Linked DNA regions of Lytechinus pictus. The main gene of each other region encodes a partner of the protein of the gene in region 3 in a complex. Links are inferred from orthologs where the notes say so. Each region holds a gene or a part of one and is shown on either strand. Other genes may lie near its edges.

The links.
Region 1: parafibromin-like (region 3) and RNA polymerase II-associated factor 1 homolog share a complex: the UniProt entries of both Caenorhabditis elegans proteins name them as parts of the PAF1 complex. The link is inferred for Lytechinus pictus from reciprocal best matches to the Caenorhabditis elegans genes cdc-73 and pafo-1.
Region 2: parafibromin-like (region 3) and RNA polymerase-associated protein RTF1 homolog share a complex: the UniProt entries of both Caenorhabditis elegans proteins name them as parts of the PAF1 complex. The link is inferred for Lytechinus pictus from reciprocal best matches to the Caenorhabditis elegans genes cdc-73 and rtfo-1.

Annotation. Positions count from the first base shown.
Region 1 is NC_087251.1:47,767,986-47,779,411, forward strand, and holds the start of RNA polymerase II-associated factor 1 homolog, read right to left. Parts: upstream 5,352-11,426; 5' UTR 5,230-5,351; coding exon 5,183-5,229; intron 1-5,182. UniProt on the Caenorhabditis elegans protein: Component of the PAF1 complex which is a multifunctional complex involved in transcription initiation via genetic interactions with TATA-binding proteins, elongation and transcription-coupled histone modification.
Region 2 is NC_087251.1:44,620,660-44,631,877, forward strand, and holds the start of RNA polymerase-associated protein RTF1 homolog, read right to left. Parts: upstream 4,414-11,218; 5' UTR 3,167-4,413; coding exon 3,086-3,166; intron 1,168-3,085; coding exon 1,060-1,167; intron 8-1,059; coding exon 1-7. Other genes in the region: zinc finger FYVE domain-containing protein 1-like, read left to right, coding at 7,540-8,892. UniProt on the Caenorhabditis elegans protein: Component of the PAF1 complex which is a multifunctional complex involved in transcription initiation via genetic interactions with TATA-binding proteins, elongation and transcription-coupled histone modification.
Region 3 is NC_087259.1:23,515,692-23,526,974, reverse strand, and holds the start of parafibromin-like, read right to left. Parts: upstream 4,445-11,283; 5' UTR 4,377-4,444; coding exon 4,246-4,376; intron 1-4,245. UniProt on the Caenorhabditis elegans protein: Component of the PAF1 complex which is a multifunctional complex involved in transcription initiation via genetic interactions with TATA-binding proteins, elongation and transcription-coupled histone modification.

The DNA.
Region 1 (11,426 bases), on a different chromosome or scaffold from region 3:
CAATACATAGACTGAAGAGTTGTTGGCCCGTACGTACAGACAACATATTAGCAGTGACGTTAGATCTTACATTCGGCGGAAACCCGATTTTGGATCGTTATTTTTTACATAAAATGTCACATTATAAAAAAGAAATTACATCCAAACTTACGAAGAAAAAAAACCCATAAAATTCAGAAATATCGTACCTCAGACCGCAGTTACTGCTAATTCTTTTCAAATGATGATAAAAACATAGTCATCTTCAATCCTTTCGTTGGTCTACGTAAGTTGCCATCTTGGATGACGCTGTCATCCTTACAGACGTATTTACCAGTCGCTATATATCGCAATTTGTGCCACTGCTTTGCGCTTAAGTGTAGATGTGCGTGCGTTCGAAATTTGTCTCTCGCATTGATTGGCCAGGATATCGAAAATTTAATCGGAAAGCCTTGATAAAAGAACAACTCATTAAACGTAGAGGGCAGCAACACACGGCTGCCATTATTTCCTCTCCGGCAGAAAAATAAGGAATAAATCATCGGTAACATATATTTATATATATGTAAAGTAACAAAAGAAAGATTAGAGTCTAACGAATATAGTGAGCCTTCGTTCAAGATAATGGATTTAGAATTTAAAAAAAAAATCTAAAAAGTTAGATAAAACCCGGTCGCCCGAATTGGTGGACCTGATTACACATGCAGGCTCGCACTAACACACTACTGTCAGTGAATGGGATTATAGTAAAATGTCAAAAATTAAGCTTGTAACCGATTTTAAAATCAGCTCCCGATTTTACCACAGTCGGCGATCACCCTCCGATCTTCGAACATGCCCCTTGAAGGAAACAAGTGGAATGCCTCTGGCGGTCTCATCTGCATCACGCGATTCAATATAGCAGCAGTGCTGACTTTGAAAACTACTATCAAATAATTATTCACAAAAAACACCATTCATATAATGAAACAATACTACGTTCATTGACACTTAACCTTGATCATGTGACCTAAAACTTGTCAGTGAAACTTGATTACCCCTATATCCACATTTTATACACTATATCTATAAAATTTGAAAGTTATGACAGCAATCTAATAATTACCTCTAAAATGGCCAAAGTTCAATGACCTTACATGACCTTTGACCTTGATCATGTGACGCGAAACTTGTACAGGATGTTCAGTGATACTTGATTACTCTTATGTCCAAGTTTCATGAATCAGATCCATAAACTTTCAAAGTTATGATGGTAATTCAACAGATACCCCCATTATGGCCAAAGTTCATTGACCTTTGACCTTGGTCATGTGACCTGAAATGCGCACAGGATGTTCAGTGATACTTGATTACTCTTATGTCCAAGTTTTATGAACTAGACCAATAAACTTTCAAAGTTATGATGGTAATTCAACAAATACCCCCAACTTGGCCAAAGTTCATTGACCTTAAATGACCTTTGACCTTAATCATGTGACCTGAAACTTGCACAGGATGTTCAGCGATACTTGATTACTCTTATGTCCAAGTTTCATGAATCAGATCCATAAACTTTCAAAGTTATGATGGTAATTCAACAGATACCCCCAATTTGGCCAAAGTTCATTGACCCTAAATGACCTTTGACCTTGGTCATGTGACGTGAAACTCAAGCAGGATGTTCAGTGATACTTGATTAACCTTTGTCCAAGTTTCATGAACTAGGTCCATATATTTTCAAAGTTATGATGACATTTCAAAAACTTAACCATAGCTTAAGATTTGGTGTTGACGTCGCCGCCGCCGTCGCCTATAGTCTCACTCTGCCATGCAGGTGAGACAAAAATTGGATATAAAAAATCGGCGTAGATCTAGTTACAGTGCGTGATCGTTCAGAACATATTTCAAGATTTTTTCTTGAGGTGCTGGCTATTTAGAGGTCGCATTAATCAGAAAGAAAGACGCGGTATTATCTCTGACGATGTTTACGAGGATATATATCTTCTCTTCAACCTCGTGGTGATAGCAGACGCCGCCGTGAAATTTTAAAGGTCGTATTACTGACGGAGCTCATTGCGCTACTCTCTTACACGTTCATGATGATAGACATCTTCTCTTCAACCGCGTGGTGATAGCGGACGCCGCCGTGAACTTTTAAAGGTCGCATTACTGACGGAGATCACTGCGCTTCTCTCTTACATCGTTCATGATGATAGACATCTTCTCTTCAACCTCGTGGTGATAGCGGACGCCGCCGTGAACTTTTAAAGATCGTACTACTGACGGAGCTCATTGCGTTACTCTCTTACATCGTTTATAATGATATACATCTTCTCTTCAACCTCGTGGTGATAGCGGACGCCACCGTGAACTTTCACAGGTCGTATTACTGATGGACATCACTGCGCTACTCTCTTACCTCCTTTATGATGATAGACATCTTCTATTCATCCTCAATTACTTCGTCGGGAGATGCTTCTTTTATATTTCTTCTTGGATATCAAAAGTTAATTTCTCAAGATAGTAATAAATTGATTTGAAAACGCTAGCTCCCCAAAACATTTTAACAACATGTTCCGAATCATCGCGCGTGCTTGCGAATTCTTCTACATTTTAATTGCACTTGCGACTTTAAGATGATGCGTCGTACGAGATCAAGAGATCATTTCAAATAATTTTAAATCGCTAGCACCTAAAAAATATACTTATAAAAGATGTCCCGCCGATCGTTCATTAACCTGTGATCTATGATAATTATTTTCATTTTATTTTCCTTTGCAACTTTGCTGGGAAGATGCGTCTTTCGTTTAACTTTCGAATAAAAATCACTTGGTTTATTTATAGCAGTAACACCTCAAAACCCCTTTAAAACATGTTCCAAACGATCGCGCATGTTGGCGACTTCCATTCCAATGCATTCGTCTTTGTGACTTTGTCAGGAATATGCGCGCGACCGCAAATAAAATTTTGATGTTTTCCTTTGTTTTTAGACATCGCCGATTCGATTTTCGAAGCTTAACTGCCAATCCGATTTTTGATCTGATGTTTTATCCGATTTACAACATTATCAGAAATTATTAAATAAATCCTCAGAAACGACGGTTATTCCTGTCTATTAAATGTCCGTATTACCAGGGCTCGACACTAGCACTTGTCCGACGGTCCCAGACTGGTAAAAATCGCTGTCGGGCCTGTAGATTTTCAGAAATAGCCAGATTTACTGGTCCGACATGACCAGTAAAAAACTCATTGTCGGGCCAGTAATTTTTCAAAAAAAAGCAAGATTTATGGCTCCGACATGACCAGGAATAAAAACCATTGTTTAGCCAGTAACTTTTCCAGAAATGGTCATATTCACTGGTCCAACATTAACATAAAAAATATTCCATGACTCAAATTGCAAACCATTTTCCTCCCGTTAATTTCTGTCATTCACACACAATATACACACAGAATGAATTGCATGCAATTTTTACAAGGGGACTAGTATCTAGTATTATACAGTTTAGTGCACATGTACAGCCAGCCACACAGCCCACATGGTAAATTTTCTACTGGGCTGCACGAATGAAGCTTGGCTAACGTCTGGCAGAAATCTCTCACAGAACTGTCAAAATTCACATTCACACTAATGAAAAGCTCTTATAATGTCCATATTTCCTAAAAATTGGGGTAACTCTGTCATTTGTAAGCAGTAAAAGGAGAAATTTTCACTTCTGTTTTAGTTCAAACAGATCGGGTTTCGAGTGATATCGTCTGAATACATGATAGCCCCACATATGCATTTGTGTGTGTGTTGATACACTCGGTTTCTTCCGTCATAGGCATAGCTATATTTTAATTGAGCAAAAAAGAAAGTGATAATTTATTTATGATAGTTTTAGCTTTCTTCCTCAGTTTTCTTACTATCTTTCTTTCCTCCTTTCTTTTCAATCTCTCTTCGTTTCTTCCCTCTATTCTTTCATTTTTTTATTAATGTCTTTCTTTTTTAATTTTCCTTTTTTCTTTGTCTTTTGTTCTTTCATTCTTTCTGTCCTTTAAAAAAATATTTTTCTCTTTCTTTCTTTTTGATTTCTTTCTTTCTTTAATTCTTGAGTCCATCCATCCTATATTTATATCTTCTTTCTTTCTTTCCTTCCTTCTTTTTACCCTTTCTTTCCTTCATTCTTTTTTACTCTCTTTCTTCCATCCATCCTTTCTTTACCCTTTCTTGTTCTTTATATCTTCCTTCTTTAAGCCCTTTCTCTCTCTTTCATTCATTCCATCCTTTGTCTTTTGTTCTTTCTTTCTTTTTTCCATCTTTCCTTTTACCTTTTCTTTCTTTTTTACTGCTTGCTTCCTTTCTTCTTTCCTTCATTCCTTCCTTTCTTTGTCTTTTGGTCTTTTTTTCTTCCTTTCATCTATTTTTTACCTTTTTTATATTGCTTGTTTGCTTCCTTTTTTCCTTCATTCTTTTTTCCTATCTCTCATTTTACCTTTACTTTATTTCTTCCTTAATTTCTTTCTTCCTTCTTTCAATCCTTCGTTTATTTTTCCTTCCTTCCTCTCATTTTACCCTTTCTTTTTGTATTGCTTCTTTCCTTCATTACTTTCTGTCTTTTATTCTTTCTTTCTTTATTGCTTGCTTCATTTCTTTCCTTTCTTCCTTTTTTCTTTCGTTCTTTCTTTATTTTTGCTCTTTCTTTCCTTCCTTTACTGTCTTTAGTTCTTTCCTTTCTTCACATCTATCCTTTCGCTTTCTTTACCTTTTCTTTTTTTCTTCCTTTCTTTTAATTATTCTCTCTTTCTTTGCTTGTTTGTTTCTGTTCTGTCTTTCATTCCTTCATTTTTTTTTTTGGGGGGGGGAGTAACAGGAAAGGGCAGCAAAATAAACTTGCACCTTTTCTTAATTAATGTTTTAATTTTTTGGGACCAGTAAATAATGGAAAAACTGGGTATCTACTGCCCTGGTCCGACATGAATAGGTTGGACCAGTAGAAAAAAAGGGTTAGTGTGGAGCAATGGATTACACGGACGAGTCCTGGGATCCGGCCCGCCGTACGGTATACGGTAGGTACCTACGTACCTGTACTAGCTGTACGGTAGGCCGTGGCGCGGGCGCGATAGCGTGGCCGTTGCGTTGGCCGATTTGAGCAAAACTTGAGGGCCTTGGCGCAGGCCAGAATACTTGGCCATGGTTTGTAACTTTGCATAATCAATTAGTAAAAATAACTAATATACATACTTCCGATCTCTGTCCTTTCTTTCTCCACTCTGTATTGTCGGCGGCATTTCGATTTAATGAGCAATAAAAGGGAAGAAAACCGACAGTAGATTTTGGGTTGGTGCAAACAAAAAAACATAGCACATGAAAATTGAACGATACACTGATTGTGCGATGTCCTCGAGTAAGCAAAAAAAAAAGCATTAATTACTCCCTCCTTGACAAATTACACATTTTCTTGTGTTTTGCAAACAAAATTAAACATCCTGACGAGACTGTTAAAAGATAATAATCAAGGAACAGATCAGATCAAAATAATATGAAATTCAGGGAAGAAAAAATTCTAATTAAGAAAATACAGGTATAATACAAAATCATTCCGTAAACAGTGGCGTAACAGGCGGGGGGGCCGCGGGGGCAAGCTGCCCCCCCTGGCGGATTTCACCGGGAAAAGAAAAGAAAAACGGGAAAAAGAAAAAAAGGAGGGAGAAAGAAAGAAAGGAAAAGGGGAAGGAAAGGGGAAAAGGAAAGGAGGAAAGGGAAAGGGAAAAGTGAAAAGAAAACGAAGAAAATCAGAAAAAGCAGGAAAATGTACGAAAGAAAATCAAAGAAGAACATTTGAGAAAGAACAAATCATTCCGAAATAGGCCTATGTAATGCAATAGCACGGTGGGCAATGAATTAAAAGATGACAAAATGGCAAACAATAGCGGGAAATGAAGGTAATGTTATTAGTCAAAAGCTAATGGAAAACAAAGAAAAGGGACAAGAAAAAAAATAATAACATGACCGGGCTGCCGATGATTGAAATTAAAGAGCGCATAGGCGGATCCAGGGGGGGGGGGGCCGAGGGGCCCGCCCCCCCCCCCCCCCCCTATTGGCGGAGCAAAAAAGAAGAAAAGGACAGAAAGAAAAAAGGGAGGGAAAAGAGAGGAGAAAAAAGAAGAGGAGGAAGACGAGTTAATAAAATAAGATGAGGGAAAGACTTGAAAAATAAAAAGAATCTTTCATGTCACTATATAAAATTTTCGCTCGCGCTTCGCGCTCGCATTGCCTGTTAGGTGATTTTCATATCTTGTTCAATATGGAGTTCAAATATCAAGTTTGGAATTCAATATACACAACATATTTCACCTCGGAAATCGAACTTTCATTATTTTGTGTGATTTACAAATTGATTTTTAAAATGTGCATTGTAAAAATTTCAGTTTTATGGTCTGAATATTAACATTATCTGCTCGCGCTGCACACTCGCAAATTTTGATTTATCAGGTACCTATTATTTTCGTGTATTCCGGCCAGTTTTCAAAATATCCCTTTTCAGGTCTGATTGTCAAAACGTATCAGCTAGCGCTGCGCTCGCATTTTGATTGGAGAGTTATGTATATGTCTCAATATTTGATTATACAACAAACTACTTAAAATCCCCATTTAATGACAGTTTATCAAAAAAAATGGCTCGCGATTTGCGCTCGCATTAATGGTTAAAAATACATTAACTGATGCATCCTATTTATGATTACAAAAGTGCTTGAAATGTCGAGTTTTCAGGCCATAATATCATCAAATTTCGTGCCCTCATTAGGCATTAATGAGTAAGATATTAATTTAGAAATTAAATTGTCCCTTTTATCTCGCGCTTAGCAAGAGGAATATGAAGATAGTCATCATTTTCATATGATGACATGTCCTAAGGATGTCCCGATCCTATATGTCAAAACTCAAAGTAATAATAATGGAACATATTAGATCTATATTAAGTGCGATCTATATCCACCTCACAATTTTCTTACAAAGTGCTTGAAAAATAGAGCAAAAATTGACTTTTTTTCAGTCGGAATATCAAATAGTTTAATATATTTAAATCATTATCCAGTTTCAGATCACGATATCAAAAATTTTCTGCTCGCGCTTTGTGCTCGCATTATCAAGGTAGGAAAATCCCTTATTACTCATTCTTTTCATGATTTACAAAACATGAATAGAAGGAGAATGTCCTGTTTTTAGGTCTAAATCTCGATTTTTCCGCTCGCGCTTCGCTCTCGCATGAATTGTTTAGTTATATAGCTATCCTGTTCACGATTACAAAAATTAAAATTTTCCATTCTTTATTTATTTATTTATTAACAATATTTCAACAGGATACCCAACCAACATAAAAATTGCTCTCCCTTGGGGTTCTGCATATTAAAAAAACAATCACAATATATCTTGTTATACACAGTAAAATTAACATGAGAAAATGTACATACATTATGATAGAACATAATAGTTGAAGTCAAATATAAACGAAACTATAAATAACTATTAACTACGCACATCATTAGAAAGAAGGGTCTGTACATAGATCATAATAGTCGAAATTGACATCGGAGATATCTACTATTGGAAAAAAGCTGCAACTGGATTTAAAGGTTATCTTTTAAATATTTCTTAAAAATTGAGAGGGAATTTATGTTTTGAGATTCAGGTTGAAGACTATTCCATAATGAGACGGCTTGATAATGAAATGAGTGTTTGAATGATTCAATATGACATTTGGGGAAGTGTAACTTATTTTGTGAGGAACTTCTTGTACAGTGTGAGTGAATTTCTTTTCTAAAAGTAAATAGTTTGGACAGACATGTGGGAGCAATACTTTTCATACATTTGAACATTAAAATAAATCTGAAAATACGAACTCTATCTTCAAATCTTTTCCAATCTAAGAGGGCAAATAAATTTTCCGAAGGGGTCAAGAAATGGGCATTTAAAATAATCCTTGCAGCTCTTTTCTGTAATTTATTTAATCTTTCGGTATCTTCTTTGAATTTATCCCCACAGACAATACAACAATAATCTAGAATTGGCAAAATCATAGCATTATATAGAGTGGGTAAAGTATTTTCATTGACACAACCTTTTAACCTTCGTAGGATACCCAACTTCCTGCTAACGTTATTGGCTACTTTAGATACATGTTCTTTCCATGATAATTCATTATCAATAAGTATACCTAAACATTCAAAGGATTGGACTTGTATGATCTGGTGACCATTACAAATTATTTTTAACTGAGATTCATTGGAATAAATAGAGTTTGCAAGTCGAACACGTGTACCAATAATCATACATTTTTTTTTTCATAATTCATCATCATACGGTTATCTTCTAACCAGCAGGCTATATTTTCTAAATCCAATTGTAATTTATTTTGTATTTCAGCTAAACTATCACCTTCGGCATAAATAGATGTATCGTCTGCGTACATAACTATTTTGGAGTGTTTCAATACATTAGGCATATCATTTATAAATATATTATTATATATTATGTAGAAATGTCAAAATGTTTCAGCTCGCGCTTCGCGCTCGCACTATTTGATTGTTGAAATATGTAACGTCTTCATGGCTAAGTGCAAGCAGTCCATAACAGGTACCTTTTCGATCACTTTAAAATGTATACATATAAAAACTTTCTGCTCGCACTTTGCGCTTGCATTATTAATGTAAGGAAGATCCCCAATTACTCATCCTTTTCATGATTTACAAAACATGAATAGATCGAGTGTCTCGTTCAGTAGGTCTCGGAATTTTCCGCTCGCGCTTCGCGCTCGCATCAATTGTTTAGTTATATACCTATTCTGTTTAAGTTACAAAAGTGCAAAGAATTTCCATTCTGTAGGTAAAAATGTCCAAAAAATTTCAGCTCGCGCTTCGCGCTCGCATTATTTGATTTTTAAAGTATTTAACATCTTCATGGCTAATTGCAGCAGTCTTTAACAGGTACCTTTTCCATCAGTTCATTTCTGCTCGCGCTTCGCGTTCGTAGTATTTATTTGATTGCATATACATCTTTTCCAGGATAACAAACATTGCCCAGAATGTTCAAATTTTAGGAAAAATACATTAAATTTCCCCAAAAAAATAGCTCGCGCTTCGCGCTCGGATATTATATACAGTATGTTGATTTATATGAATAAAACTAAGAAGTGTCTATTAGGACTACCCCCTTCAAAGAAACCAAAAATCATCTTCGAGCGGCCGATCAGGGAAAATATGGCCGGAAAAAAAATCTGGGCCCCCCCTATTGGCGAAGGCTTGATCCGCCCCTGAAAGAGCGGGAAGAAAGATGGACTGCATACAACATTGTGCTATAAGCTTGCTAAATTTTATGCAAATAAGCTACCGGGGCTCTGTCCCAGACCCCACGCAGTAGGGGCTCTTCATTTATAACCTTCAAATGGCTCTATAACGCCCCCCCCCCCGTTCAATCACGTTCAATCACTGGCATACAGGCGGGGGGTCTTGGTTCCACACCCTAGTGGAAATAAAAGAAATTATATAACGTATAATTAAATGAATAGAACAATGAAATGTGTTATTTGTTGAATATAATGGAAAAATCTATCACATAATTAGAATTTAATTTCAGTAGGCATTTTTTTTCCAGCTCGCTTTGCACGCTGGCGACTTTTTACAAATTTTCCCACATTGCTATGTTTTACCCCCTCAAAATATTTGGTTCATTACGCAACTGGGTTGAGTAAATGTGTTGTGTAAAAGCTATATTCTGTATATGCCCGCGATTTGATTAAACTAGCGGCAATCTGCGAGGTTTAAATGGCTTTGATATCAAGAAGTTCCGGGGGCTCCGCCCCGGATCGACCCCAACCGCACAGCACTGCATGCGTATGGAAGGGTTGGGCCATGGCCCCAAGAAGTTCTTCAAACAAGAACCAAAAATAATGGAGGAAAGAAAAGCAAAGGAAAAGTGTAGGATATGATTTTATTTACTGAATATAATGTCAAAAAAATAGCTCAAAGTTAGATTTTCATAAAAAGGTGATTTTCACACAGTGGCGTACAGACCACAAAAAAGGAATCCAAAGAGAGAAGAGTGAAATATATTATTCTCTGGATATCATGTCAAAATCTATCACTAAATTTGATTTTTGTATTAAAAAGGTCAAAATTTTTGCTCGCTCGCTCGCAACTTTTTTTTAAAAGATAAATTCTGCCCGATACGGAATATCTCATTATCTGGCCGTCTCAAAATAGTCGCCTCATTCGGGGCCTCATTACACCATTACGCCTGTTCCCCGGCCACCGACCCCTGTTACGCCGCTGTGGCCTTTTAGCAAAAGCTTATATCAAAAGGGCCCCTTGAAGCAAAAAACAAAAACAAAGAAAAACAAGTACATAGAATTGATTAAAATAAATACATTATACATATTTAAAATACGAAAAGCATACAATTTTGGAATTCGGGTAATTGAAACACAGTTTGACATATCAGCCGGACACAATATATGATTTTAGCTCTTTGTCATCTCAAGTTCTTTTGCAATTGAATGTCATGTAAGTTTCCTCAAAGTATCAGTTTTCAGATTAGAATATCACAAATTTTCTGCTCGCGCTTCGTGCTAAATCCTTTTTAATGATATTGTAAAAAGTAAATAAAAATGTTCCATTTATTTAGGTCTATATTACATGTAGACCTATAACAATACCATCCCGTTTTGGGTTCGCAATAATTGTTTTTACCCGTATAAAAATCTGTCAAAAAGGAAGAAAGACATAAACATGATAAAGAAAAGAATGTCTCTCCCAAAAAGGAGGATAATTGTCATGAAGTGTAATTCTTATCATGTTTCAATTAGAAAATTTGCTTACATGGTTTAAGTTGTAAAAGTAGCCTCTGTGCGTAGGGCATATGTACAGTTGTTGTTGAAATAATTTAAACAACGCTGTTAACCCTGATAGCAGAAACTGGTAAAAATGACGTCATAATTACGTCAGTTTAACGACGAATGTCACGTCATTTTGACGTCGTAACATGACGTCTTATTGACGGGATCTTGCACCCGCGAATAACGTCATTATGACGTCGTATATTGACGTCATTATGACGTCTCCAAGAGTGACTACGACGTCTTAATGACGTCTTAGCAACGTTTTTACAACGTTTTCCTGACCAGTATCAAGGGTCAGATTGACGTCGTGTATTGACGTGATTATGACGTCTTCGAGAGTCAACAACGACGTCTTAATGACAACTTTGCGACGTGTTCCTGACCGGTTTTAGACGTCATATTTATGTAATTATGACGTCTTTAAAAGTCATCTACGACGTCTTAATGACAACTTTGCGACGTATTCCTGACCAGTTTCAGACGTCATATTGATGTAATTAGGACGTCTTTATAAGTCAACTACGACGTCTGAATGACGACTTTGCAACATATTGCTGACTAGTAATAGACGTCATATTGATGTCGCATATT
Region 2 (11,218 bases), on a different chromosome or scaffold from region 3:
ATGTCCACTGAATACAAAAATAGGAAAAATATCAAAGCTGATCAATTCCTATCCAAAGAACAAAAATCAAAGAACGATCTAGACTCGAGATACGCAAATGCGTTTTTAGTAACCGGGTAGTGAATGACTGGAATAGCCTCCCCCAAGAAGTTATTGACTCAGGCTCCATCCATGTATTCAAATTATTAAAGACTCGATAAGTTTTGGTAGTCTGAGCGTTTCAATCTCCAATGATCAAAACCGTCTCTGCCCTCCACGTGTGCAAGTTTTTGCTCTTGTAGAATAACACATCGTATGGAGATGGATGACTGTAATTTCAGATGAAGAGATCGAGGTCAACAGGATTACCTCACCTTGTAACATGATGATGACATAGATTTACATATATATTTATCCATGAAAAAAATGTTCTAGTGAAGAATGTTAATCCATTAAAATTAAAACACAATAGTGAAATAACTCACCATTATTTCTATGTGAGAAAATCATTTCATGTATGTTTTAATTACATCTAGATATTATTCACTTACTTAGTCCTAGATACACAAGCAACCAGGCATTTTGTTCTTTTATGTAATGTGCTTCATTTTATGAATTTGAAAAAAAGATGAGTCAAAGCATCACTGGCTGCCAAGCACAGATGAAGTGCACAAAGTCCATCCATCATTTTATTTCATAATTTAAAAATATTACAGAAACTATACCTGGTGGGTGTTTCATAAAGCTGTTCATAAGTTAAGAGCGACTTTAAGGACGACTGGTGATCCTTTCTTGTGGTAAATGGTATATTCATCGGCGATGGTTTAGCGCGTAAGAAAGGATCACCAGTCGTTCTTAAAGTCGCTCTTAACTTACGAACAGCTTTATGAAACGGCCCCCAGAATGCAAGGCTACATATTGAAAGGTGTTTGAGACAATTCATATTCTATATTTCTATCAATAGTGCACATATAGGCCTATACTTAATTGAAAGAAGAAAAGGAATGTAATCAAGAAATAATATTTGCAAAAAAGTGCTATGCACATAAGTGCTAAAATTCAAAGAGAAACTATACTCACATCATCATCACTTTCTGATGTCTCAGACTCAGAATTGCTCTTTTGCGAAGTTGATTCCTTGGCCGACTCTGGCTCCACCTTTTTCCTTTTGGCTAAAGTAAGCAGTTCCTGGCAACGGCAATAAAATAAGAAAACAAGCTTATCAATAGTGGGATGAAAGGAAGAAAAGCTCTGTAAAGTTCAAATCAGAATTTTGAAGTTTTTAGTTCAGAAATAGGGTTTATTTAGTTTTGGAGGTTACATTTTATGTTTGGCTTAATGCGTAGATTTTCAATTGGAGCAATTGTCACCAGAGCAAATGTCATGAAACTGGAAAAATACTAGCCTTGAGGACTCAGTGATGGTATTTTTAAATACACTTTTACATCATGAAGCCTTGAAACCCTCCCCATACTTGCCTAAGCGGGACATGTAAACACGGATGGATTTCCCTAGGAAATCCATAATTAAAGGACAAGTCCACCCCAACAAAACAATGAATAGAATAAAAAGAGAAAAATCCAACTAGCATAACGCTGACAATTTCATCAAAATCGGATGTAAAATAAGAAAGTTATGATATTTTTAAGTTTCGCTTAATTTCACAAAACAGTTATATGCACATACCGGTTGGTATGCAAATGAGGGAACTGATGACGTCACTCACTCACTATTTCTTTTGTATTTCATGACATGAAATACAAAATATTCTAATTTTCTCCGCATTGTCCTGTGGAACAAAGTTTTATTTCTCCCTGGAAATGTGGAATTACCATTGTCTAACATTTTATGGTTCAGTCAAGTTGGTCCTTATTGTCAAATCTGTAAATTTGAAATATTGTATAATTCAAACAATAAAAAACAAAAGAAATAGTGAGTGACATCATCGATTCTCTCATTTGCATGTGACTAAATTGTGCATGCAACTACTTAGTGAAAAATAACCGAAACTTTAAAATGTCATGACTTTCTTATTTTACATCCGATTTTGATGAAATTTTCAGCATTATGCTTGTCTGATTTTTCTCTATCAATTCAAATCAACATTTTTCTGAGGTGGACTTGACCTTTAAAGCTAGAAATCACGTAAATTTGTTGGATTTTATTTATCTATATAGGGAAAAATCCATCTGTGTTTACATGTGCCGCTTTAATAGGCAAGTATGGGGGAGGGTTTCAAGGCTTCGTGATGAAAAGTATATCTATGTAAAAATATTTTTAAATATCATCATGGAGTCCTCAAGGCTAGGTAAATACACCAATCATGCATTATTTTTAGCTATTAACTGGGTTACAATTAAAAATCTTGCAATCTGATGATTGCATCACTGCATAATATCACATATATGTGTAGACATATATCACAACTATATTATCTGACAGTAATATTACAAATAATACCCATCACCATGGGAATGAACAAGGTAGCTTCATAAAGTTCATTTGTATTACAGTTTTAACACAAAAAGGTTTTTTTTTTTAGAAATTGCAAGAAAAAATTGCTGATGGTGATGCCCCCACCAGCCACCTTAATTGATTGCCGTCGTGTCTACTTAATCATAGACCTACGTCAAAGAAGAAAAAAATCAAGCAATATTATTAATGTGCAAACATTCACTCTCACTCTCAGTCTCACTCTTGGCAGAGAATCCAAAGACTGCATATTATTTACGACCAACATGTGCATGGTCATGGATGGGTCATGGCCCATGCCATGCCATTAATTATTTCAATGTCTGCCTGATGACAAACTGATTTTGCTCAACGAATTTAACTTAAGTTTTTGCGATTGTTTTCTGTGCAAAACAAGCTAAGAAAATGCCAGAAGCAACCCGTCAGCAAATTTTCTTGCAGTTCCATTCCTATATTCCTGAAATTTAGTGACATCAAAATTCAAACACTCACTTACTCAGTCTCAGCTAAACTTAATATTCTCAGAAACACACACTCACTGCATACTGCACTGCATGCAGTGCAAATAAATGTGCAACTATCTATCTGTGTCAGTGTCATGTCTGTCTGTGTGTAAAGTGAATGGAGAAATTACCTCTTCCAGATCCGATTCATTTTCCGATGCAGAACTGTCTGAATTTATCACTGCTCTGCTTGGTTTCTTACGTTTCGACATGGCGCTTGGGTCTTTCACTTTAATGGGTAGAATCGGGACTCAAATCGATGAAGTTCTTGCTTTTTAGGGCATTTTGTAGAGAGAGACCACGACTGAGATGAGTTCCCTTTTTTTCTTGTTTTACTTTTTTGCTAAACGCACGCACACGCGTGCAATACGTACGTACATCATGTAGGCTAGCTAGACGTACATGGCCGCGTATCGTTGCGATTTTAGCTGATAAGTTTTAAAACGGTACCATTACTAACCAATGTGCACACGCACGAAACAAGCACACGAAAATAAATGACAAATATTGTATGGTACTTTCATATAAGCAAATCGTGATTCTGAACATTTGGCATAATTACTCCGGCTGACTGAGAATGGGGGGGGGGGGGTGATTCCAAAGCACTGGCGTAGATCTTTAGATGGTGTGGGGTGGGGTTCCGCGACCAAGAAAAAAAAGAGAGAAAATGCGAAACATTTTTTTCAACTTTTTTAGATTACGCCCAGGCCATTATACGTCACCATAAAAAAATATTTTCTCATGGTTTGCTCGCTTCTCTCGCTCTTGATTTTAAAAAAATGTCCGATGCGCCATCAGTTATTGCTCCTCATTTTTTCTCTCCTGCGGGAACCACAGAATCTCCTGATTACCTCGATCTTCTTATAGGGGCGGGGGCGCGCGGTGGCGAGAAATCACCCCCCTCCCGCTGTTTGCACCATGAATGCAAATTAATACTTTTTCCTATATAGCATAAGGCTGAAGGTCTTTTATTACACGCAATCGCGCTTGGTCAACGTTATGAATTAAAGAAGTGTTGTTTTTCTCCAAAAATAAAGGCTTGACGTGAAATGACTAATTCCTTACTATAGTCACGAATGGCCAAGATAATTGGAAGTATATATATATATAGGCCATAGTTTTATTTCCCCATCATGCACTCATTGATATCCGATTTTTTTGTTGTCTATTAACATGGAAGATAAAGCCTATAAGGAAATCGATGCCGTGGTGATGAGAAACCAAAAGAAGGCTATAGGGCCTACTTGATTACAACAACGGCTGGGGGAGGGGGTGGGGGCGGAAAAAAATGAAATAAATTATTTCTATTATAAAGCCCGGAAGAACTTGACTGCACAAGACACTGATTTGATTATCATTGAATTAACAAACGAGCCATTTAGCGACCGAAGAAAAATAGATTCCCTTTGCAAAATATAGTGACCTTTACATTAATTTTGGTACATAAGAAACACGACTCATTGATATAGGCTCTTGCGGCCAGCAAAGCGACAAAAGGCTCAACGCAACACAGCTCATACAGGCTCGATCCCTGCTGCGGCACTCCGTCCATATAGCATGAATTAAAATAAACTGCTTTCAAAAGGCCTGTAAGTTTATACCTGGCCTAGCCTAACAGGATATCAATCTGGTGCCGGGGGGGGGGGGGCACTAGCTTCCATTGACGAGTGCATGGATACCATGCGCCACCATGTCCGGGTCTCGAAATAAAAGCCTTATTTTGAAAATGCACCAGGCCTTAATTTGGCGTGTAAATCCCTACCCTTAACAAGTATTGGAAACAAAACGATATCTTGGCAAGTATTTCCTGAATTGAACCCCCAAACAAGTACAACGATATTTTGATTATTATGACGTCGGTTTTACCTTTACCTACATCATTGGGTTTATGACCCCACCTCCCACACACCGCCACACACCGCGCAATCGTACTCTAAACACACAACGTTAGCCTAGTGTAGCGGTTGGGGAAAAAAGTAAATCCTTTATATAACAGTTTTTTTTAAAATTATTTTTGTGTTTTTGCCACCCTTATTACGTTACGTAACTTTGTAACGTGCCCTATCTTGAAAAAGACACCCCTTTTACGTGTTTTATAGTCGCGCATGGTATCTATTCATGCACTTCCCCATATTTTTGATGCCATATGTTCACAAAAAATTAATTTTATCATAACTACCCCACGAGACACTTCACTTCGCAGCGAAGACCTCTTTGTGTGAATAGCTTTGCACTTGTTCTGTAATTATGTTTAGATCAATATGATTTCGACCTATTTGTTCCTTCTCTTTTTTCTTTCCTGTATATAAACGCATAAATGAATAAGTCGATTATATTTTCTTCATTTCCGTGGGGATCCACACTTTACAAGCTTTGCTTTTTAGTGGACCCCCCTCATTTCCATTTATGCTCAATATTATACTGTTTTTTTTTTTTTTACGAAGTAAGAATACTCGTCTGTAAAATTGTATTTCATTTGTATTACTTTATATTACTTTGTATTATGTTTTGAATGGAAATGGAATAAAGAATTGAATTGAATTCGTCAATGTAAGTGCCCCCCCCCCCCCCGGATCTGGTGGTGCAAAATTGAGCTTTCGATCTGGCTGCACGTACCCCTGCACAACTTAATTATGTTCATTGGAACTGTGCCCCACTTACAGTGGATGGGTGCAAAACTCCCTCTGTCTGCATTGGCTGACTTTCCGAAATCATAATTTAAACAAATATGTGAATCGCACAGTAGTTGTTTAAACAGTTTAAACAAGTGTTTAAAATTTCAAACAACCTTGCTTAAATTATTGATAATTAAATATTTGAATTTAAACTTTGTTGTTTAAGAATTTGTACTTGTCTAAATGTTTAAACAACTTTTTTGGAGTTTTTATTTAGTTTCATATCTGTTTCATCGGAATGTTGTACAAAATCAATAAACATGACAAGTAAAAAATAAAAAAAAATTATGCTTTGATAAACTAAATTAAAAAAAATTAAGCAAACTCAGATGATTTTGTATTTTAGAGTAAAACGGTGGGCTTACCGGAAAAGGCAAATTAAAGCTTGTATAAAAGGCAAGCCTCTATAAAACTTTCTAAACTTTCTAGTGTCATTAAAGGACAAGTCCATTCCAACAAAAGATTGATTTGAATAAAAAGAGAAAAATCCAACAAGCATAACACTGAAAATTTCATCAAAGTCGGATTTGAAATAAGAAAGTTATGACAATTCAAAGTTTCGCTTAATTTCGCAAAACTATTATATGCACTTCCCGGTCGGTATGCAAATGAGGGAACTGATGTTTTATTGCTCCCTGAACATGTTGAATTACCATTGATAAACATTTTATGGTTAAGTCAAGTTGGTCCTTGTCAAATCTGTAAAAATTGAAATGTTGTATAATTCAAACAATAAAAACCAAAAAAATAGTGAGAGGGGGGACATGGGCGGAAATCACAGGGGGGACGTGTCCCCCCTACTCAAAATAGTAGTGGGGACACAATATCAAATGTCCCCCTACTATTATTTTGTGGTCTTTTATGATGGTAAGAAATACATCATTCAAAATCGAAATAAAACATGTATCTTAGGACTATATGACCTTACTTTTGGGATGGTAATCTTTTTTTTTTTTTGCTTGTCAAATTTTCCAGCTCCTTGTCCCCCCTACCTTTTGGGAGAGTTTTCCGCCCCTGGGGGGGGGGGGGGGACATCATCAACTCTCATTTACATGTGACTAAACTTATTGTGCATATATAAACTATTTTGTGAAAAATAAGCGAAACTTTGAAATGTCATAACTTTCTTATTTTATATCCGATTTTGATGAAATTTTCAGCATTATGCTTGTCTGATTTTTTTTATTGATTCAAATCAACATTTTTTTTGGAGTGGACTTGGCCTTTAACTAAAAATTTACACACAAAAACTAAAGATTGAGTTCGTAATAAATGTACACTGTAGGCCCCTACATTTTTTAAATACCTTCATGATGAAATATGCATAATAACCTCATAACCCTCACAAATAGGTCTAAACACATGCAGTAAAAACGCTATTTCAATTTTTATAGAAGTTTACAACGTACGCTGATTAGGCCTACTATATGTTTTTTAATCAGCTGTCTAACAGTTAAAAATAAACATAAAAATGATCTGTTTAAAAGATTGCAAACACTTGTTTACACTGTAAAACAACTGCTTTAAAATTAATATATTAACCAGTGTTGCAGACAATTTTTAAGAAAAATTTTACTGTGTAGTGATAGGCATCTAGGCCCCCGGTCTAGGCCCAGTTTAATTTGCAATCACTATAGCCATTATCAAGTTCCTATATAGGCTATATAGCTAGCTAGCTCTTGCCTTGAATTCGCACACACGATTGCTCGCTGGCGCGGGATCGATCGACATGCACGCAAATCAGCTGGCCTGGCGCAGGCGATCGCGACGACATTTAGTGTGCATTGTAGCTCCATTGTAACCTTTGGCTTTGCATTGTGTGATTAACATATTCATTGCATGTGTTGTGTTATGATTCATTTTCACACGAAACATGTATACCATTCTCGTTTGCAGCCTGAGAGTTCGAGATGGCAAGTCGATCTAAAACCCATCAACCTGTAAAATACAAATCTAAACGGGTTTGTGAGGAGAAATTTGATTGCGACGGATCGAATGCTAGCTACGAATGCTTGAATTGCGGAACAAGACAGTGCGAACATTGTGAGCAACTTCTGCACAAACCAGAGAGACCAAAATTTGCAAGTCACATTAGACGAAAAATTGAGCAACTTCCTTGCGCTGTTGAATGTGCCCTGTGCCCATATAACCCTGCAGAATTTTCCTGCTTGGAGTGTAGAACTGTAATTTGCCAAGACTGTAATAAGGAATATCATCGAGGGAAGTTAACTGGACATCGACGCACTCCGCTACGTACAAAACAAAAACAGAACAAAGAGGTGGTTTACAGTGATACGACGCAACAAAGCCCGACGAGCGAGATGAATCCATCAAAATCTTCGCCAGAAAACTGTCTGCCTCTTTCTCCATTTCTCGATTCTTTAAGTGAGCCAACGCCATGTGAAATCAAGGAGAGGCAAACTACAATCTTAACCGGGGATATTTCATCTTCTTCGACAGGATTAAACCTTATTGATGAGTTAACGTTGGACTCGGATTTCCACAGTTTGACAATGCTGGATAAGAAACCTTCGCTATCTACTCCAGATGACAACGATATAGAAAGAGATGATTTTTTGTCTTTGGAAAGTGTAAGCAGTGGCCAGAGTGGACTTAAATCATTGGAATTTCTCTCGGGACACTTTGAGAGCGTGGAGAAACCCTCTATTGCACAATCGAATGCAATAGCCATACCCAAGGCTCCAGAGAGCAATGTAAACAGAAGTGCAGGTGGTGGCATGACAGTGACTCACAGAACAACACGGGCTCACGGCAAACCCGGAAGTGGTAGGAATGTAAACAAACATGGTGCAGGAGCGGTGCATGGTGATCATGGGGAGAGAGTTGTGACATCAACAGGGAATCCCCAAGGCACTCACCCCAAAACAGAGGACATTCAAAGCAACCAACCATATCTGGACCAGACTTTGTCTCCAAGCCCAAGGCATTCCGAGTTCTTCAGGTCCAATTCTGGCTCCGGGGAGTGGACCCCTACTCAGGGCCAACCATTGTCGCACAGTTTGGAGAGTTCTGGAGGCCGGAAGAGGATGGAAGCGATTGTGAAACCTGTCGGGAGTGTGAAGGCTGTACCGTCATCACCCAGAGAGAAACAAGTGGAGAGCCAAAAGAAGACTCCATCACCACCACCACCAGCACCAGTGAATGAGCTTGCTGACATGGAAGCTGCTGAAGATGAGATTGATCTTGTTGATCCTAACCATGCTAAGGGCTTTCTACTTGTTGATGATTCAGAGACACTTCAGGTAATTAATATTCTGTCTTTTTTATAAAGCAAATTAACTTAACTTGATAATATAATATATTTTTTTCAATTTGGGTTGCTGTCACAATAGGAACTCTCACCAATTCAGATTTTGTTGTAATAAGTAGATCTATATTTTTTCTAAATAAGAGCAAGCCATGAAATCACACCTTAAAATTTGAGTGCATTTTTATTTTCATTATTATTCTCTCCTTGCATTTTACTTTTGCAATTTTGCTCCCCACCCCCCCTCAAAAAAAAAGAGGCATGGATTTTCTTGTAGTTTTATCGTTTTGAGGTACTTGCAAAGGGGGTAACTACATGTATATCTGGTAATTTTAGTTACTTTCCTGGGGAAGTGTTCTTTCATTTTTATTGAAAATTATTGGGTATATTAGTTATGGAGGTACCAACAAAGTCAAAGCAAAGGTCTCGACTCTATTAGTTGTGGCATGTTTGTCTCAGAACCTGAAAGTGATTTTTTTTTTTTTACTTTTAGAGAACACTCGTAATTATGACTTGATTGCTTCGTCTCTGCTTGTTTATATCAAGACAAACATCTTGTCTGACACCCTTGAACTCTAAAAAGTTGTTGCTATGTCATGGCAATACAGTGCCTTGCCTGAACAATGCTTTAGAAGCAATTTTCATGCATTCATTAAAGGAGAATGAAACCTTTGGATCAAGATAGCTTGTGTGAAAACAGAAAAATCAAAGAAACAGATCAACCAAAGTTTGAGAAAATAAGAGCATTTGAATATTGCGATCACTAATGCTATGGTGATCCTCACATTGGCAATGCGACAAAGATGTGTGATGTCACTTGTGAACAACTCTCCCCATTACTTTAGTATATATTTCACTTAAACTGCCTCTTATATCACATCTATCAGTAGAAGTGTTCTTTCTATAGGAGGGCATGTAATACAGATTTATAAAGAATACATTATGGATAAAGAGTTTGTATCACCATAAGAACAAGCAAAAAGAGACATTTTTGGGGTATTTTATAGTCCATCTGAGGGAAAGTTGTTCACATGTGACATTACACATCCTTGTCGCATTGCCAATGGGAGGATCTCCATAACATTAGTGATTGCAATATTCAAATGCTCATAACTTTCTCGTTATTTGTCTGATTTTTCTCAAACTTTCTTTGTTCTTATTCTTTGATTTTCCTTTTTCGACATTAGCCTACTTGTTCCAAAGGTTACATTCCCCTTTAATGTTTTGGTGGCAGCAGTGGGATTTCCACAGTCTGCATTTAGGATTACTGTGTTGAGCTGTTTAAGACAATGTTTTGCTTTGTGATTTTCATACAATTATCATGCAATTTCAAAGTAAATGTGAAAATGATATTTGTTAAGAGGAAAATGATATTCATATTGAGAAGAGGAAAATGTATTTTATCATAATTGTACTATGTTCATGTATACATGTGAAATAGTGTGAATTATATTATGCTAAGAGATATTAATCCAAATTTCAAATCTTAAAAAAAGAAAGTAATCTCTTGCACTTATTTCCATCCATTGAATCTTTGAGAAGATTTGAATTTAACTTTTGAACTTAAAGGGATGCTCTGGGCTGAAAATATCTAAATAAAAGTAAAATTCACAGAGCAAAATGCTGAAAATTTCACAGAAATCTGATAACAAAAAATTTATAGTGAAGTTATTGATATTTAATGTTTAGCAATATATTGTGAAAAAATTTATATGCACGTCATTATGAATATCAATTAGATGGGCTGATGTTGTCACATTCCCACTTTCCCTTTTCTTAAACCTTTATACCGCATCTACTGAAAAAATGTTGTGTCTGCAGTCGAGTTTCCATGTCTAGCTTGTACTGTACATTGTCTTCCTATCTTGGATAAATTGTTATACTGCATCTGTGCTATTTGTGTTTTGCTGTGCCAATGCAGTGACTAAATCACAATTCCCATGCATGAACATAATGCCACGCAGACCAAAACTTGTCTACATGTAGTTTTGTTTTGTTATGTTATTACATGAAATCATAATTGTTTCATTTTTTCATACATGTGTGAATGATGTATCTCCCTTATAATGAAATAAGATGCAGCAAGATAATGCACTTATTATTCCAATATTTTTGGCTCTGGAAGGAAAAAATGTGAATAAACCTCATTTCATATAACAAATGGTGATATGACATCATCAGTTTGCTCACTTTGAATATTCATGAAGGTATGCCTAGAACTGTTTCACCAGATGAATGTAAATCTTTAAAATGCCATAACTTTGTTATTCCTTGTGTGATTTTGATCAAATTTTCAGCCTGGAATACCCCTTCAAGCACTC
Region 3 (11,283 bases):
ATAGAAAACAAGATGGCAGCGTAAACATCGGGCAAGTCTCTTCCGTCTTTACACAATATTTCTCTCATTTTTTTGATGAATTCTTGTTAAAAAATAACGAGAGCGTAGAAATGTCGGAAATGAAGTTTTATCCCATGTAGGCGTACATGATTTAGGGCTAGATCTTTTAGAAAGAAAGTAGAAATCTCGGGGGCGAAAGTTTCAGGTTTTTTGGTGGTACACGCAAAAGTATATGACGGAAGCCCTGGCTTCGTATGAGAGTGACCTTACGTTAGTAAATCATTGATTTTTACTCTCTAGAATAGGTACGCCACTGATAATTCAAATCTTCATCCAAATCTGTTGAAACTTACCTCAACATAAAGAAAATGTGTCACCCATTACGATGATGCATTGATTATGACATATGATGAAGAATAACTCAAGTTATGATTTTTTAAAAAAATGATTTCTAAGTATTATCCATTCCGAACGAATTGTCGACCATCGAGTATCAATCACCACCGCGCATGCGCATTCGGGGATTGCCAATTCGGGGCGGAGATTTTACATCGCGCATAAACGCTTCTCGCGGCATGGTGACGAAGCGTAAGTGCGCATCATTTGTGAATGAGATTGGTCATTTTCGCGGCGCTCATAAATATGCATGTACGTTCATGATACGCATATATCGGAGTATTTTGTTGTTTTGCAAGACAATTAATTTGAGACTTGAAGTTAATTTCACATGTTTTAACTAGATTATCTGAATTACAGTGCACAATTACGACATGGAAGACCATTGGGATGGATTTCAAATATAATATGTAAGTGAGTTGATAACATTTGGTTTTGCATCTTTCTTTTTTCAAGTTGTTTTGAGATCGAGAATTTTTTCTTTCATTTTAATCATCATTTCTTGTTTCTTGTCTGTCCACCGCAATTTTGTGTAGTCCTATGTTACATTTTCCCCTTCAGTACACTGATGCTTGAAAGTATGAAACCGAAAAATGCACACCCCCCTCCCCCCCGCGTTCATCCTTTCTCTCGATCCCTAACAATAACATTAAAAAGGATAATAACATAAGCTGATACTAGATACAGTTTTGACAAGTTATTAAAGTCGTTTTTTTTTTTTGGAGAGGTAGGGTGGGGGGGGGGGGGTTGATGCAATTCCCATCCCCCCCCCTCATTTTTTGTTTTTATTCGTGACTTGATATCCTTGCCTTTACGTGATTTCCTATGCATGCTCAATCCTTGAAACTTTACATAATTTTAAAATATTTTTACAGATCCATAGTACACCATACAGAACTTTTTTTAAAGGAGCTAGTCTCAAGTTTGTCTCTCTGTTTTGTTTCCTTTTCTGTGAGTTCCTTTCTTCTCATTTTGTTCCTCTCCTGTACTAACTTTACAACCATTTGCTTTTGTTTTTGCTCCTCTAGCCTCACATTTTTCCCCAATTTCATTGCATTCATTATTTTGTTTTCTCTTTCATCTACAGGAAATTTTTGTAGCCAGGAGGCTGTATCATTCGATGAAAACATCAGTTTGGATTCGACCTTACCACAGAAATGTTAGAGGCCCTATGAAGCATTGCATCCGCTCTGCCAAACTGCCTCTCACCCGAGATATTTGTAGAACTACACGATGCACTTTCTGCAGCAAGATCCAGCTAAAGTTGTGATGAACTAGCATATAATAGATTTCTTATATTCATTACATTCATCATTCCAGTTCTTAATTGATATTTCAAAAGTTTAATAAATCACTGTACATGCATTTAATATATTTCTTATATTCATATCATTCATCATTCCAGTTCTTAATTGATATTTCAAAAGTTTAATAAATCACTTTACATGCATCATATTGAGCTGTACATTGAATCTTGCCTCATAAGATCATTTGGCTTCATCTCTACATAATACCCCCCCCCCCCCAGCAATAAAAAAATGAAAATCTAATAAAACAATAGAGCTGCAGGCAGTAGCGTACCTAGGATTTTCCACAGGGGGGGGGGGGCAAAATCGTCCGCCCAAAAATTTGACAAGCAAAAAAGTCTTCAACCACAAATAAAGGATTTCGTACCAGAAAAAAAATTACAAGCAAAAAAAAGGTCTTAAACTTCAAAGGAGGGGGCCACCGGTGGCTCATCAGGGGGGGGCAGGGATATGTCCCTTACATTGGTTGTGACTCGTCGGGGGGGGGGGGCAGTCTGCCCCCCCCCCCATAGGTACGCTAGTGGCTGCAGGTCCACCCACCCATCTGTATCAACCATTACCTCCAATGAGAATACCTAATTTTAAATTTTATTGAGCAACTTCATTAATACTGTTAACATATTCAATTTATATTTTTATGTGGAGTTAATTAATGTAACCAATGCCAATAAGGAAAAAAATAAAATGAATACTTTCATGTGTCAGTGTGGATTTGTCATTTCTTTTTTAAATTTATTTTAATATTCAGATCTGTATGTGTATCCTTTTTTAACACTATGTTCCTTCTCTTCTCTACTGCATGTGCCAAATTGTTTTGTTTTTTTTGCTCATACTTCTTAAATAAATCATGAAAAAATTACATAAAGTCTAAATAAAAATATTTAAACAGACATACAAGAAAAAAAAAGTGTTAGTTTGGGATGATAGAAAATGTTAGAAGACAGTTGGGGGGGGGGGGGTGAGATAAATCAATTGTTTCTTTCTTGTCAATTTAAAAGCTGCAATTCACATTTGTGAATAATTAAGTAGTTGGTAGAACAATTCCTGCTTAAAGTTGCAGTCTGAATGGAATGCAGGATCGCCAAGAACAAAGCCCAGAGGCAGAGGTGGGGTTGGTTTTTTTAAGGCGGCATTTCCATCACGCTTTCTTGGAACCACAGATATTCGACGGCTCAGCCCAAGTCTGTTCATTGTTGGGCCCCTCGACTTCAGATCAGTAAGTATTGCCATGCTCAAATGGAGATAAGAAATTAATCTGAATGAAAATAAAATATGAAAACAAAAGAAAATTAAAATGATAATGAATTAAATTAGATCTAGGCCATTCATTTTTTAAATAATAAAAATGTAAAGTTTGATTAGGCCAAAAGAAATCATGTTACATGAATTTTCAACAGAACATAATCATCAAATAATAAATCAAGACTAAACTTAAAGTAAATTACCTAAAGTAAAGGCTAAAATTAACGTTAGGTACTTCGAGAAGATTCAGAAAGTTGTTGCGTCATTTGCCATTTTTTTTCAATATTTTATTCAATCAAAATGAATGTGTGTCAGTGTGGGATATATTTCTGATTTCTACATTTGTGTCTGGTTTTCAATTCCTAATTTATAAAAAAGAAAAAGTTTTTTTTAATCAAAGAAATACCAGACATATCACGATAGACGGTCTGCTACACAAATTCCAATGCGCAGGACTACACACCGCGGGCAACCAAAAACCCTAGCAGCCGCCATGAATTAGCCCGCGAAACGCGTCGCCAAACTTAAAAAAAAATCCCACGAAACAAATAGCAAGGGCGTTTAACGTTCGGCCGTGGCAAATGGTGGCAAGAAATGCTGCCATGAATGAGGTAAGAAATGAAAGCTTACGACTTCAATTTTCGAGTAGCATATGTATTTTTAGCGTAATATGTCTGATAATTCCATGAAAATAACATATAATGATGATTTGATGCATAAACTGTACTTACAGACTGTTTTAGTGCAATTTTTGTTCCGATCTCGATCCTCCGTCGCAAGAGCTAACCGTGCAGTATAGCTGAATGCATTGGGAAGATGATGTCATCGTTTTCATTCCCATTGATATACGTTTACCATCCTAGACAGGAGACTCAAATAGGGCTTGCAGTTATTGCTCGCACCCGCTCCCGAAGCAGCTTGTCGCCATTTTCGTACGCGAAAATGATGACGCGAAAATCGCGCCCTCTCGCGCTAGAGTAGCGTACCTACTCTAGAAGCCGCCTGGCTATGTGCATGTGCGCTCGTTGTGTACAAAGTCAATAGGATTAGGAGTGGAAAGATGTCACCACCGCTGACGAAATAAACGGCAGTGAATGGACTGGTGACATAAACCACGATAATGCCGTACAAACATGCATTACTTTTAATTTAAAAAATAAAAATCATGTGGCATATGCATTCATAATCATATGCAAGGGCAAGGCAATTAAGGGCAGTTGTTTCACACTGCAGCGCGCTGTGTTACCAACCGTGTTGTTCCAATTTGCAGAGCAGAAAGGAGGAAAAGCCGTTAACTTACCCATAGGTAACGTAGTTAGTTTTTGTGTCTTTGGGCCATGAAAATTCTCCGAAAATAACATCATCGTTTCTTTCCGTTATAACCTTATTCTGAGAGTGATAAACACGAAGTAAACTTAAAACGTCAGCCATGTCGCCGTCTCAGCCTCCCCAACCTTTCTTTCCTCAAACGTACCTCGTCACAATAAATTCAGGCACGTAAAACAAATCGCCCAAAACTCCAAGTGTGTCGCCCAGCCATGCACAAACTCGCAAACTTTGAATTCGACCGATATTATTTAAAGCAGCTCCATGCTGTGCAAACCATTCACTCGAGTTAAGGGTCTGAATATGCAGCCTACACATGCCTTGTGTACTGGCCTCTCAGGATTGAAACAGCAAGTTTTGTATGTGGTGCTAGTCTTTGCGTGGAGACACATTTGCTGATCAAAGTTTCAATCAGGGTCTGTACCTGCAGACTAGATGCAGGCGGGTGCCAACAGGCCCTACCTAATGACGATGATAATGAAGAATTGGAGATGGTGGCATGATGGTGGTGGTGGTGATGATGATGGTGATGCTGGGCCTGGAGAGAATTAATGATGCCAGTGTGTATGCAGTGGTGGTGGTGATGATAATGATAATGAGTGATGATATGGGGACATCTCTCCATGAATTTTGTACCCAAATTCCGGGATACAAATTATCAGACTTGCCCCCTTCTGAGCACAACATAATAATTCAATTTCATTCAATTCAAGGGGTAGGCCTACCTTTGGAATCCAATGTCATAATCGATTATTTTGGAAACAAACTGTAGCTTTAGAACGAGGCATCACGCAACGTGCCTAAAAATTCCATCAAACATTTATTGTCTTCCGATTTACAATCCAATTTCAGATATGATATATACAAATCAACAGTAATAAAACAATGAATGTAAATGCAATATGTACATTGATCGAACAAGGTGTAACAACCAAGAAAGCAGGTGGATGTGTCGGGATACACTTATAAAACTATGTCATCGGAAAATTTGTCACTCGAAAATATAATTCACACCATATATGCCGAGGTCAGGAGGAGATAAGAAGAAAAATGTAATACAATGGGGGAAATCTTGTCTTTTAACGGACGGAGCTCATCAAGTTGCAAAAGATCAATTGAAAAAAAAATGATTAAAAATCTATGACTAAAGCGGCACTCAGCAAAACGCATAGAATGTGAATATAATGACTTAGCTTGCAATTGCCATTTGATAATAACAACAATGAAATTTCAAACGAATATGATGAACTTGTAATTTTTCATTTGCTCAGTTTAGAACATCTGACATTGGTCCTCCAAAAGAGACTTTCGGCGTCCGTCGGTCTATTGCCCGTCCGTATACATATTATTGAAAGTAGCTTCTTATTATTGTCTAATAAAATATTTATTAAATTTGTAGTCAAATATAAAATAAATTCGAAATATTTACATCCATTTTTTTTTATAGTTAAAAAAGGTTGATTGTAGTTTTATCGAATGTTCATTATTATTTATAACGAATATTAATGTAAGAATATTTTATATGCTATGTAACTACAAGAATATTTATTAGGAGGCTGCACTCTACAAGCTCCGCCTTTTAGCAGCCACCTCCATTTCCAATAATCTTGAATATAATTTTTGTACAGGGATACTTGAAATATGTTTTTGTTATTTATATGTAAAAATATACAAAACAAACTTTAATTGTTGAAAATGGAAATAAACGAAATGAAATGAAATAAGTGTACATTTTCACATTGTTTAAATCAGGGACGTGACGTCCCTGTTTCAATCGCAACCTCTTCACAATCGATTATGAGGAAGAAATTATTAAAAATAATGTTTCTATATGCAAAATCCGGTAATATGATAAAAGTGTGGGAAAGTGAGAGATCTAGCAGTAAACCTACTACTAACTTTTATTTTGCAATTGATACGGCGTATACAGATGGGGGGGGGGGGTCTTGGGGCCATTGACCCCAAATTTTCACGGCCAAGAAAATATGGAGACAAGGAAAAGAAAAGAAGGAAAGGGGTGAAATGTATTAATTTCTGAATACTGATGTTATGCAAAGAAATCAGACAATTAGGTCTTCTCTTCATTAAAGAGGTAAAAAAAAATATTGCTCATCATCATCATCCTCATCGTAATGGTGATGAAGATGATGATGATGCCTTCCTGATAGCAATTGCAATCAGTCTCAACTTTATTACTTTGAATTTAGAAAATATATAAAGTCTGCGGATAACAATTTTATCACGTAACCCGAATTTGGATTGTATCAGTATATAAACTAGAGACGTGGAAATAATTTCCCCATCATAATCGATTATAAAGAGGAGGGAATTACCAAGGAAATAAATTGTACACTTATGACAATATCATATTATCAACATTCACGAAAAAAACCGAGTTCTTTTTCATTACGGTTAACAAAAAAAAACAGACTTAAAATGTAAATTAGTGGAATTGGTTCTTTATTTGAGTACAAATTTATATTAACAAATCGAACTCATTTTGTACTCGAGTACAAATTTATGTAAATAACTAGAATAAACAACTACTATTTATTATATATTACAAAAAATCTACCCCCTTTGGGTATTTGGACGGTTAAATACAGACAAAGAACTTCGTCTATAACGCGAATCAGAAATCACCGACAGGTGGTCCATATTACAATCAGATGTATTACATTAATACAGAATTTATGTCGCAATTGCCAAAATGGTCATTGCTTCACAGCCAATGACAATGACAATGACAATGACAATGACAATGACAATGATTTTATTTCTTTGACGGCCCCTCCTGGGGGCATAGAAGAAATATAACAACTTACAACAATGGCAATAATAGGCATAAGAAAAAAATACAAAGGTAACAAGAATCAAACATGATGATAATAAACATATGTACAATACAAGAGCAGTAATAGAAATAGAAACGGGCACAAATTAACCCACCCACTTCCGACATGCCAGAGAGTATCTGGAGACCGGTACCCCACTGAACATGTGCAGGTGCAATCCAACAAAATCTGAAATCATGCAATCCAACAAAATCTGAAATCAGCCGTTCTGGACTTATTTTATATCATTGAAATTCAAAGGAGCCAAAAGTTTGAGGGGCAAGACTAGGCGTATGGAGGCTTTCTAAACAGCAGCGAGTGAGCGAAGCCAGCGACCAATTTTTTACCTCTCTAATAATACAACAAGTGGAATGCCTCTGGCCGTCTCACCTGCATCACGCGATTCAATATAGCAGCAGTGCTGATTTTGAAAACTACTATAACTCGCACAAGATGTTCAGTGATACTTGGTTACTCTTATTTCCACGTTTTATGAACTAGACCAATACACTTATAGAGATATGATGGCAATTCAACAAATACCCCCAACGTGGCCAAAGTTCTTTGACCTTACATGACCTTTGACCTTGATCATGTGACCTGAAACTCGCACAGGATGTTCAGTGATACTTGATTACTATTATGTCCAAGTTTTATGAACTAGACCAACACACTTTCAAATTTATGGCTGTAATTCAACAAATACCCCAATTTGGCCAAAGTTCATTGACCCTAAATGACCTTTGACCTTGATCATGTGACCTGAAACTTGCACAGGATGTTTAGTAATACTTGATTACTATTATGTCCAAGTTTCATGAATCAGATCCATAAACTTTCAAAGTTATGATGGTAATTCAACAGATACCCCCAATTCGGCCAAAGTTCATTGACCCTAAATGACCTTTGACCTTGGTCATGTGATGTGAAACTCATGCAGGATGTTCAGTGATACTTGATTAACCTTATGTATAAGTTTCATGAACTAGGTCCATATACTTTCTAAGTTATGCTGTCATTTCAAAAACTTAACCTTAGGTTAAGATTTGGTGTTGATTCCCCCAACATGGTCTAAGTTCATTGACCCTAAATGACCTTTGACCTTGGTCATGTGACATGAAACTCAGGCAGGATGTTCAGTAATACTTGATTAACCTTATGGCCAAGTTTCATGAACTAGGTCCATATACTTTCTAAGTTATGCTGTCATTTCAAAAACTTAACCTCAGGTTAAGATTTGGTGTTGACGCCGCCGCCGCCGTCGCCGCCGCCGCCGTCGCCGTCGGAAAAGCGGCGCCTATAGTCTCACTCTGCTATGCAGGTGAGACAAAAATCAAATTTTAATTTTTACATGTATACCAACTGTGCCGTCTTTTACTCCTTGATCGTTTAATTAATTCTGATTTCTGAAATAATGACATCGCCTTTGTATTCATTCGAAAATGAAATATTCCGTCTTTTCGCCACCTATGCAACCATCGTCGTAATGAAGATGCTCTGGGTCGGTATGACTTGGAAGTACCGGGTTTTTTTTCAAAGCAAGGTAGGACATATACCCGGGACGGGGGACATTTTAAAGACAACTACGATATATTACATGATTATTACGCCTGCAGATTTACAGAATTTCATGTTCTCTTGAGATAAAAAAAAAAAAACCTATTCACTTAACCTAATGTCATACTAATTACTTAAATTCAAATAGGTCTACTGTTTATAGTTTCTGAATCCAAATCCTGCAATGAAATGCAATAGAATTATGTGTCGTATGAGGACAAATAGAATGAAGGGCAGCAATTAGATCCTTATATAGGATAAATCAATCACCCATGGGTCAAAGATAGAGAAACTGATATCGTAAGATTGTATCATCAAAAACAAAAGAGTAGAAACAACTTTTGCATTTTCATGAGTCGTACGGGACATTGCCAAAGTAGGTTCGGAAAATCGGGGCTGCACCTTTAAAGGATCACGAAAATGTTGTAGATATTAGTTGGAACCATCAATGATACATTATTCCTTTGACCTGCAATATTTTCAATCTTCTTGTGCTCTGCCAATAATGGTTTCAGGCAGTGTTTGTTCTTGACTATTTAATCAGTAAAAATATTGAAAATTGAAAATTCCATTGCCCCCCCCCTCAATTTTTTTTAATCTGACTTCACTTTTGGCTAAAACTCACATTTTTCATAAAATTTAGGTATCATAGTAAAATATTACACTACTTATGACTTATTGAAAGCATGTTGAAATTTATGATATTTTGAAGTTGTGGAATCGCCCATAATCGTTTCCAAATTTGAATAGTCTGATAGTCACTGTTTCACAGCCGTTTTGGATTTATTTTAAATCGTTGAAATTCAAGGAGCCAACTTGCTAAGCTCCTTTCCTAAAAATAAATGAGGGGCGAGACTTGGCGTATGGAGGCTTCTAAACAGCTCGCTGCTAGTGAGCGAAGCGAGTGAGCAATTTTTTTACCTCTCTAATACAAAAATCTTATTTTGTGATATGTTTTAAAATACCAGTATAATACCCAGGAAATAATACATTCCACCCCTTTTCCTTTTCTCTCCTTTCTTCTCCGTTTATTCTTGACCGTAAAATGTTTGGGGTTCGTGGACATGGCCTCCAAACCCCGTCCCATCTGTATACGCCGTAGCAATGTTCAAACATAGTGTAATATGTAGGCCTATACTGCAGCAGCTGGATTAATACAATACAAACTTTGTCAAGACATGTCACGCCTTCGTGAATTTGAAAAAAAAAATGCGAGAAATTATCACTATGACTGCATGTGTATATGCAAAATAAACAGAACTTGTGACAGATAAAATTCTGCAGACTTCTACCGTACCGGATTTTGGATTGTATTATTATCACTGTTCGCAAATAAATAGAGCCATTTAAAAAAATTCCCATTATAATCGATTATAAAGAACAGGCAATAACCAATGAAAAAAATTGTACACTTGTGACAATATTTGTTAAATCATAATTAACATTCACTAAAACTGCACATTACGAGTTATTTTATCATAAACCAAAACACATAAAGAATTTAAATGATTTGAATTGATATCTTTATTTGAGTCTAAATTTATATTAATTATATAGAACATACCTAAACAATGAAAGGGCAACCTTTTTTGTTTCTAAATTGACAATGTGCAATTTGCGAAGCTCCTTTCTTAGAAAGAAATCAGATTTCTTCGTTAGAGTACAATTTCTCCCTGGGTACCACTCAGTTTTTTTTTTTCATTTTAATCTTATGAGATTTAAAAGTTAATCGTTGCGTTTAAAAATAAATCCTAATTGTATTTTTACAAATTTTGGATTTATTTCAAATCATTGAAATTCAAAAGAGTCAAAATTTTGAGGGGCGAAATTGGCGTATGAAGTTTTTAAAAAGCTAAGAGTGAGCGAAACGAGCGAGCAAAATTTGTGATCTCTTCAATACAAATATCTGATTTTGCGATAGATTTTAACATACCAGTAATATATTCCAAAAGTGATATATTTCACCCCTTTACTACTTTTCTTTTCCCCCTTTTTTCCATTTTTTTCTTGGCTGTGAAAGCTTTGGAGTCCATGACTCCCGAGACCCCTTCTCCAAATGTACTATACGCCGTAGCAATGTTCAAACTAAATGTAATCTACAGTAGGCCTATTGCTAGGATAACTGAATACAAGACATGTGACGCCTTCATGAATTCTAAAAAAATGTGGGAAAAGGAGAGATTAAGATTAAGAATAAGTGCCTCCAAATGGGGCAAAAAAGAGGGAAATTTTGCTCTGTATGAATGCATGCGTATATTTACAAAATAAACTACTAAAAGTAAATTCTTGAGAGATCGAAGTATGCGGATAACACTCACTTTGCATTTAAAAAGAGACCCCCAAATTTTTTTTCCCAATTATAATCGATTATAAGAAATTCATAAAGTAATAAACTTTCATCAAATTATGATTGTAATTATAAACATTAAGTAAATTTTTTTTTTATGTATTACAAACTTAAAAACATGAGATATAAATAGGAAGAAATTATTTAGAACTCGAAAAACAAATTCATATTAGTAACTAGAATATACAATTACTATTTATTATAATAAATCTGAAAAGCTTTCATAAAGGATTATACGGTCGGGCAATGACGGACACCGAGTTTAAATTCTCGC